2 linked regions of the Danio rerio genome follow. The protein of the gene in region 2 interacts with the protein of the main gene of each other region in a pairwise test. Links are inferred from orthologs where the notes say so. Each region holds a gene or a part of one and is shown on either strand. Other genes may lie near its edges. The genes, in order: vamp5 and stx16.

Region 1 (4,411 bases), on a different chromosome or scaffold from region 2:
ATATAAATATGATCGATAAGTGTCCTGATAAACAGCTGTAGTTTAACTGCTTTGTGGTGCCTTCACCTCCTCTTGCGAGTGGTCTCGCGCGGTTTGTGCCATGCATTGCAATAAATTAATAAGTTGTATATAAAATTAGCATTTCAAAACCCCTTAAATTTTGGCAACCTGCCAATGCCACTTTTTACCAAGCAGCATCTTCCCACTCTCCCTCAGGAAGCCAATATTTGGAAGTAACTAAAACTGCAATTCATCGACTCACCTTGGGGGGCTGGCTCCAGGAAGTACAGGTGATTTCTGACTGCAATGGTAAATTGGCCATTTTTTTCCCCCCCTTTATTTTCATGCCAAGAACAAATTTCATTAAGTTGGCCATTTTTACAGTTGATAAAATAAAAACATGTTTACACCCTGGTACAAAAGATGGCTTTGGTGCATATAGCTATGATTACCCTTCATGAGAGGGGTGAATTTTTTCGCAGACTATATTTGAAGTGTTTGAAATATTGAAATGTTGAAAAAGGCTTAGTGGCTCAATGTGTTACAATTGTATTTTTAAAAGTCTAAGTATTGATCTAGTATACAACCAAGCAAAAGGGTTAGCGTTAACCGTTAGGGTTAGGGTTAGGTTAGGTGTAGTAACGAGCAAACAAAGAAAACTAAGCACAAGGCAGAAGATATCATAGGTAAGATTGAGTTTTTTTTTTTAGTTTTTTAAAAAATTTTTATGATCTTTTTGTGCTAAAGTAATCTTACTGCAATCACCATAAGGCAAAGTAGCACCAACTCCCACTAAACACTAGGCTTCAGCTAGTTCTGTTGAATAAAATAAGCAAACAATGAATAAGAAATATGACAATGAGATGCTGCGCTGCCAGAAACTTATAGTCGGCTAGTGAACCAGTCGTTCATAACGGAGATTCATTCACAAACGAATCGCTCCCTCCGTCAGTATGAGAAGTGAAAGCAGGAGAGAAGGTGTGTTTCAGGCAGGGTGGATAGTACATTTCTGTACACACAAACAAGCTTTTTGTCAGGAACGCCAGTGCAATCACTGATCCATCAATGTACAAAAGTGATGTAAAATTATAATTTTCGTAATTAGAAAGAAAAATTACAAACTAACATCCAGGAAAACTCCCGATCATAGATATATGTGCATATGTGTATATCTTTGGCTTTGGATGGCCACAGTCCTCCACTGTACCTTGGGCAAGCATTCATTTCAAAGGAGCGCTACTCTGTTTCAATATGGCAGCTCTATTGACGCATTCCTTCTAATAGACAACAATAGGGTTTGGCGACATCTATATATCTATGCCCTGAGACCACGCTCAGACCTGCACTTCCAGACCTATCGTTTTCTCAGACAGTGCCACCTGCTGTTGGATTTGGTAAAAAGACATGTTGGTGCGATATGGGAGGCGCCTCGTGACAGCGCCAGCGCAGAAGAATAAAACTCTGGAGGAGCATTTTTTTGCGCATGAAGTTTGAAGATATCGAGCTTGTACTGTTTTCTCTTATCAGCTGCTAGTGCTCTTTCCGATGCAGTATATTCGGTGACAGTTTCTGGCGCATTTAACCCACAGATTGATACAATGGTAAGTTGTTTTGTTTTGAAACTTTAAAGTTTGTTTCGTTTTGCTGGTGATATTTTGAGGTTAGCTTTACAAATCAAGACCATTGAGGGCAAACGTTTTAGAAACAAAATGTGTAGCTCAAACCTGTATATGAGGGAAGTTTTCTGGATCTATAACACAAAAACGGTTAGATAAGAAGCTAATAAAAAGTGACGGCAAACGCCGCATAAAGTTGGTTTGACGTTGTTTATTGTTGTTACAAACAAGTGCAGTTCTGCCATGCTTAACGATCATTATGAAAGTGAAATCTATTTAGATTTTTGTTTCGACAGGCTATAGTAGGTTAGCTTTCAATTCGCTTTGTTAGAGATATGTGATAGTAAGTTGCTAGTATCGTTCTTATTGTTTGTGTCTGAATTTGAAACTGCCTTGTTCTTTTCAAAGTCATTTAAAAGTCATTCAAAAGGTCTTTAGCCTTTATTGTTGGTTTATTTCAGGTGTTTGTTGAAACACAAGAGAGGGGATTTTTTGCCTTGTCTCAAGGAAATTCCATATTCATTATAGCAGTCAAAACTAGAGAGGAAGGAAGGGAAGGAAGGAGGCAAAGAAAGGATGTAAAAAGAGATTTGTATCCTGCAGTTCTGGTTCAATGAAAATGGTGATGAAAAACTCAAACTCTACATATGTCTGAAAATGTAATTTTTTTGTTGTATTAAACACAAATACCTCTAAATTACATTTTAAAATGAAATAGAAACGTTGTCAGTAGTTTACAAAATAAGCCAAATAAAATAGATTTTGCTTAAAAAATATATATAATTCAGTTTTCCATATAATGTATTTCATGTTCATGTTACAAAATCCTCATTCTTTTAACTCTATTCATTCATTGTACACATCTAAAGAAAAATGGGTCACACTTTGCAATAAGTTTTCATTAATTAATATTAGTTGATGTGTTTATTAATATAAACTGACAATGAACAAAACATGTGCATCATTTATTATTCATAGTTCAAAATTTACTAAAACTTTATCAAGTAAATCTAAATTCATGCTTTTTAGCATTAGGTAATGCACCATAAGTTAACATAAGCTAACAAAGAACTGTATTTTCATTAACTAACGTTAACTAACGTGAACAACTACTGCAATGTACTGTTCATTGTTTGTTCATAATAGTAAATACATTAACTAACATTAACTAATTCAAACTTGTTGTAAAGGGTTACATAAATATAATAAAAATTAACATGTGGCTGTATAACCCATCATTATATTCACTTAAAATATATCACTCAAAAGAAGAAAGAAGACAACATCAACAACAAACAATCTTAGACTTAATCTTGTACCCAATTATACGGCTAGTTGCAATTTAATGTGCTATTTAAATTGTCATTTCCTTTTAGCATGTTTTTTAGTTTCCCCCTATTGTCCTATTAGACCAGATCTATCCAAGTGGTGCTCGCTGCAGAGCCATTTGAGGAGAGCTGAGCTCCAGCGAGGGGGAGCTTAAGCTTAAGCTCCACCTTTTTTGCACTTCTTCTATGAGTGATGTCACTGGGGGTAGGGTTAGGGGTGGGGTTGGTGTACGCATTAAAACGGCTTACAGGAGGAGGAGGAGGGACAGCTCATGCTCCCCCTCGCTGGAGCTCAGCTCTCCTCAAATGGCTCTGCAGCGAGCTATGAGCCATTTCAGGCTGTGACACACCAGTTGTGAACCACTGTTCCATTGTCTGTGGCTATTATGTGAGATGGTATGAATAATAAGTGGCGTTTCCTGTAAAATGAATAATTTCACTGATCTTTGTCTGACAGTTTCCCGTCAACCAAACCTTGACCTAAAGTCACTTACATCCTTCTGAGCACAAAGAGAGGAATTAACAGTCCGACTCAGCTGATATACAGATGACATGTCTACTGCTGTAGAGCATACTAATGTCAGGGAGGTCACAGTCCTATTTCATGGCGCTCAGCCATGCTGTTTTCACAAAGGCATCATTGTGGGTTTCGATGCAATAGCCTTTAGAGATTTCTCTGTCTCTCTCTGTTCCTTGTTAAACTGTAAGCGACATGGCACTCTTCCAGAATTCCATTCCTTATGCTTGTTGTAAACACAATTTTTAAGGCTGTTATAATGGGAGGCGTCCAGGAAGATTTCATCACTACTTTTTGTTTATAATGCTTTATTGGTTGCATTTCTCACACATTAAATATGTTGTACTGTGGTTCTTCTTTACCTTTTTGACCCCCAATCGACCAGATATTTTACAGCAATATATACAGTAAAAACTTCAAAACATTTCCAGTTTTTCCTGATTTACTGGATTAAGTTTGAAGATATATATACATATTTTTCTCACTATTTCCACCTGACAAAATATGATGGAGCTTGGTGTAATATTCCGTAGCTCTTTTATTTTTTTATTAATAGTTTGATTTTTATTTGGTCATTTTTTTGTCTATTACAGTATCAGTGTCTTTTAAATAAATATAATTTTATTTTATTTATTTAGTTTAGGCTAAAACAAAAATAACTGAGAAATACCTTCTCTGCAGTTATCCAACTAAAGTAAATATACTTTCTACAAAAAACACACTTTACATATACACACACACTTAAGCCGCTTTTCCACTATCGTGCTGAATCGTTCTTTAAACAGAACTGTTCCATTCCGTGCCAAACCGGGCCAGACAGCACGGATACGGTTTCATTTTCCACTGTCGTGCTGCGACAAAGCTCTTTAAAACATTACACAAAACGCATCAGTAGTTGCCTTGGTAACGCAATGTAAACGGCTCCCTTTGTTCAACTAAAGTTAAATAAG
Region 2 (4,552 bases):
CCACCAGCATCAGAGAGAAAGAAAAATGTGATGCATAGCTTATCTGTAGGAAAGATCTGTAAAGAATAGGGAGACAAAACACTGCTTTCTTCTGGAGTCTCTTTTTAAGAAGTAGACTCTAGTATATAGTGCATCAAAGCCATCATCGCTTCTTTCCATGTCAACTTCTGGCATTAAATTTAGCAATAAGAAATGCACCGCTACTATAGTGTTAAAAAAAAAAAGGGAATTATTTTACTAAAAAACACCTAAGTCAAGTAAAAATGTAGGAATAAAATTAATACATTTTACTTTCTATGACATTCGGCAACATTTGTTATAACAAACGTAAACAAATCTAAATTTTACAGTGACTGTATATTCGATGAAAGTAGGGCTGCACAATATATCGTTTCAGCATCGATGTGGCAATGTGTGCATCCGCAATAGTCACATCTCAGGATCTTCAATGTTGAGTTGAAATAATAGTTGATTATAATTAATGCAGTGTTGAATTATAATGGACTCTTTAAAGAGATAGTTCACCCAAAAATGTACCTTTAATCACTATTTTCAAAAGTTTATGTGTTTCTTTTTTATGTTGAACACGAAAAGAAAATATTTTAATAACTAGGGTTATTATTAGGTGATATTATTAATTAATCTTACGATACTATACCAGCTGAAGTGTCACGATACCAAGTAGCATTGCGATACTGTAATTAATAACTCAAAATAAATAGAAATTGTCAGAAATACTATATATTATGTTATAATAGGCCTACTTGAATGTAATTCATAATTCCCTTAAGGCCAAAAAGTATTATTTGCACCTCAAGTTTGTTCATTCTTTTTGTGTATTTTGTAGATAACTGGCCAACAAAAACACATTAAAATAAAGATACAAATTATACCAAATTAAATCTGTTACAAAAGAGCATTTTTCCAACAAAATTAGGCTATATGACGTGGTCAAAAATAGTTTCAATGTTTCCTGTTGCTATTTTGGGTTTTTCATCTTTGTTTTTAGTCCTCTCAGGAAACAACTCAAAGTATTTCAAAATTTCATTTTGTGAGTCGTTCTTTTAAAGAGATTGTCGTGGTAGCTAATCATATTAATAGGAACAGAAATGAACCGATTTAAATGTTTATTCAAACTGAAGCGTTAGGAAACGTGCAACAGGCTACCATAAAAGGCACATTTTCGACACAGTTTGGCAATCTTAAAGGGCTCTACAGACTATTAAAATAAATGGTTTATTGTTGCACAAACGTGCAAGCGTTTTATTGACTTTTTCACATGCAACGTTGTCTATTGTAGATAAACCATAAATGACGATACTACCGTTTACAAACTACAGTGGCACAGACAGTATTTTGGAGACATAGTATAGCGATAATACCATAGTAAACCGTGCAACTCAATAAATAACTCTTACACGTTTGAAACAAGTAAAGGGTAAGTAATGAGTACTTTTTCATTTTTGGGTGAACTATGCCTTTAAAGCCTCTGACTGTGTAAACTTTTTAACATTTCAGAGTTTAAAACATCCAGCCACAAGAAAAGTTAGTGTTTGTAAATTTATTAACGATTACATTATATAGAATAAAGACTATGCAATGTTGACTGTTCAATTATCTGTACCTGAATACTGTTAAGACTCTCCAGAAAACTAGAATTCACTTATATATTTGCTGTATTTTGATTACCTAAGCTTGTAAGTTATTTGTTACACATTATTCGAGATCCAATCACCCCAATTAAACTAAAATGAGGAATTCTTTCCAAATAAAACTGTATTCACGTAACAAAATACAAAATATCGCAATGTTAGATTTTCCCAATATCGTGCTACTGTGATTGAAAGCATGTGAAAAGTTCATGTGTATGCTTTAGATCACAAAGAAAAACTATTTTAACTCACGATGACTCACTGCTGTTGAAAAGTTAAGGAACTTATGAAAATGTATTTATTCTTGCGTTGAGCAAGGATGGATTAAACTAAAGCAATTCTAACCATGGAATAAATCAATTTTTCAAAATGCTATCAACATTAAACAGTAGCTTAAACTGAATTTGAGTACACCATTCAGTTCTGTATTTTCTAACAATGGTCATTAATGATTAATATTTTAATTCAATTTTAAAAAGTAAACATACATCATCATACAATAATATGTACTAGATAAATCAGTTAAAGAGCGTCTCCACATTCTTATTTAGCTCCAGACAAACATACATGCGCCTTCATACACGAACATATAAGCTGTATACTTAAGGAGTGGGCGTCATATTTTAAAAGACGAACCAATGATCTAAACTAGCACGACCATCACCTTTTAGTCAAGTCAAAGGCATTCTCGTGTGCTGAGGTAAATCAAAATGCGTTGGTTTGACGGTCAGCTAGCAGGTTCACACACACCTTCCAGCTCCTCTCACAGCAAACAAAACAAGTTGAGGTTTGTTGGACAACTGACAGCGCCGGTTGACATCAACAAACATCACTAGCTAGGGTTGTTTTCTAAGAACAACTAGCTAGAGTTGTTTTCTCTGAATCACACGTACAACCACACACGCCAAAACAATCAATTCAGACAATGAACGTTAGACTCACCGCAGCATTGCTACGTGTATTCAGAGTACGACGGGGGTCGTATGTACTCACTTGCTCAGCCAAAATCTGCCGGTTTTGGATTGCATTGTTCCGCATTAATAAGAAGGCATCGGTCAGTCGCCGAGTTGCCATGGCTATGCAATAAAAGGGGAGCGAAAAGTGAAATAACTGCGGGCTGCCTCGATGGCTGTCTCTAGATTAGTTACTCAGCTCGTCGCCAAGGCAGCTGCGGCTACTGAACTAGCGGGCTAGCCTGCAAACCGAGCAGCAGGCTCGCCCACTGACCCAGCGCCTCCGAGCTCGAGAGAGTTCGGCTCTTTTTTAGACCAACGCAGTCCCGAGTCTGTATCCCGTGAAGTACCAAAACATTACAAGGCCGAAACCCCGAGTTTTCCGCTCGGTTTGGGGAGCAAATGGATCATGTCTGTGACTTCCGTGACGTGGAATACGTAACGTGACCTCACGCCGAAACTTCCGCTTTGGACAATGAATATGCAAAAATCGAATTCAGTATTAAAATACTTAACCTTTTCATATTTGCAGCTTAATGAACCTTTTAGTTTTATTAGACGACAGCAGTTTTGTAATATTTAAGAATTAATTACATTCGAATTTTATTTTATTATTTAAAAAAGCAACAACATGCAAAAAAAAAGCCATCAGCCTTTAATTTTGTCATAGGATAATGTATTAGATTAGATAGTATGTTAGATTAACAACACAGACTGATTTTATAGCACCAGGTTAAACTTTCTGACTCCTTTATGGTAATCAAATACATTAAAAATAAATACAGGCCACAACTGAACATTGAGGATGATCTTCAACATTAAACCATTAGACTTGTGCTGGTGTCAACCAGGCTCATTGAGGTGAGATTAATGTTAAATTAAACAAATGAATCAATGATTATTAAATTATAGCCTATGATTGTTAAGACTGTTGCACTTTTTATGTTGGCAATATGCTCATGTTACTATAGGCCTGTTTTTGTGTGTGCAACATTTGTATATTTATAACCACCTCTGAGAAATATTGGGGTCGCGAGTCACAGGCATTGTTATTTTGGGGCTCGGGGGCTGAAAAGTTTGGTAACACCAATTAAAACATCCTTAGCATGTAGTAAAAATTTAATTCACAAGTGTTTTTTAAAAAAAAGACTTAAAAAGTCATACATTTGACATAGTGACTGACACCTGCAGAAACCATGGTTGTGATGTTCCATTCCACTGGATTTTTATAAATATCTGTTTTAAAATACATGACTCTCTTCTTTTTTGTACTATTATGGTTACATCAAAATGAGTAGACTAAAAAGTAATAATTATTAAGCCAAAAAATGTAAAACCCAATTATGTATACACTATTTTTTATAAAAGAACATGTGCAAATAAAAATACAAATTTATGTCTTCGCAGACTTTTCGTCTTTGCATGAACTTTGAAATTTACAAAACAGTAAGTGCATTTCTCAAAACAGCACATACAAATGGCAAAACAGCATGGATTACCCGCAAAAGCCAGTCTCTTGCTTAAAATCTTTAGTTCATCTCTCAATATGTCAGTGCCGTCAGAATGACAAGTCCTTGTGTACAGATAAGACAAATGACTTACTCGTGTTGTCAATATAACTGTACTCTGTAGGGATGTTCTGATATGGCTAATTTAGTTAATTTTATTGCGATTTGTACTGTGATTTGTTGCCAAATCATGTCATTGTGATACAGAAAGGAAAAGACAGCACTGCATAGAACAAAGAAAAAAAATTAAAGTAGAAATGTGAACATAGGACACAATCTCTTTTCAGATGCACCTCACCTTTATTAGAAAAAGTCCAGATTGACCTGGGAGTAATTTACCAATTTTAGATTTAGAAAAAAAGTCTAATGGAAATGTATAGAAAAATGCATTATGATTAAATATTATGACAACTTGTTCAACTTCTTCATATATATAACT

The links.
Region 1: the proteins of stx16 (region 2) and vamp5 interact in binary tests that used the Homo sapiens proteins (3 or more experiments, as listed by UniProt). The two-hybrid records come from large-scale screens. The link is inferred for Danio rerio from reciprocal best matches to the Homo sapiens genes STX16 and VAMP5.

The regions. Positions count from the first base shown.
Region 1 is NC_133180.1:28,903,955-28,908,365, forward strand, and holds the start of vamp5 (vesicle-associated membrane protein 5), read left to right. Parts: upstream 1-1,417; 5' UTR 1,418-1,598; coding exon 1,599-1,601; intron 1,602-4,411. UniProt on the Homo sapiens protein: May participate in trafficking events that are associated with myogenesis, such as myoblast fusion and/or GLUT4 trafficking.
Region 2 is NC_133181.1:52,356,162-52,360,713, reverse strand, and holds the start of stx16 (syntaxin-16), read right to left. Parts: upstream 3,059-4,552; 5' UTR 2,727-3,058; coding exon 2,595-2,726; intron 2,484-2,594; exon of another isoform or gene 2,317-2,483; intron 1-2,316. UniProt on the Homo sapiens protein: SNARE involved in vesicular transport from the late endosomes to the trans-Golgi network.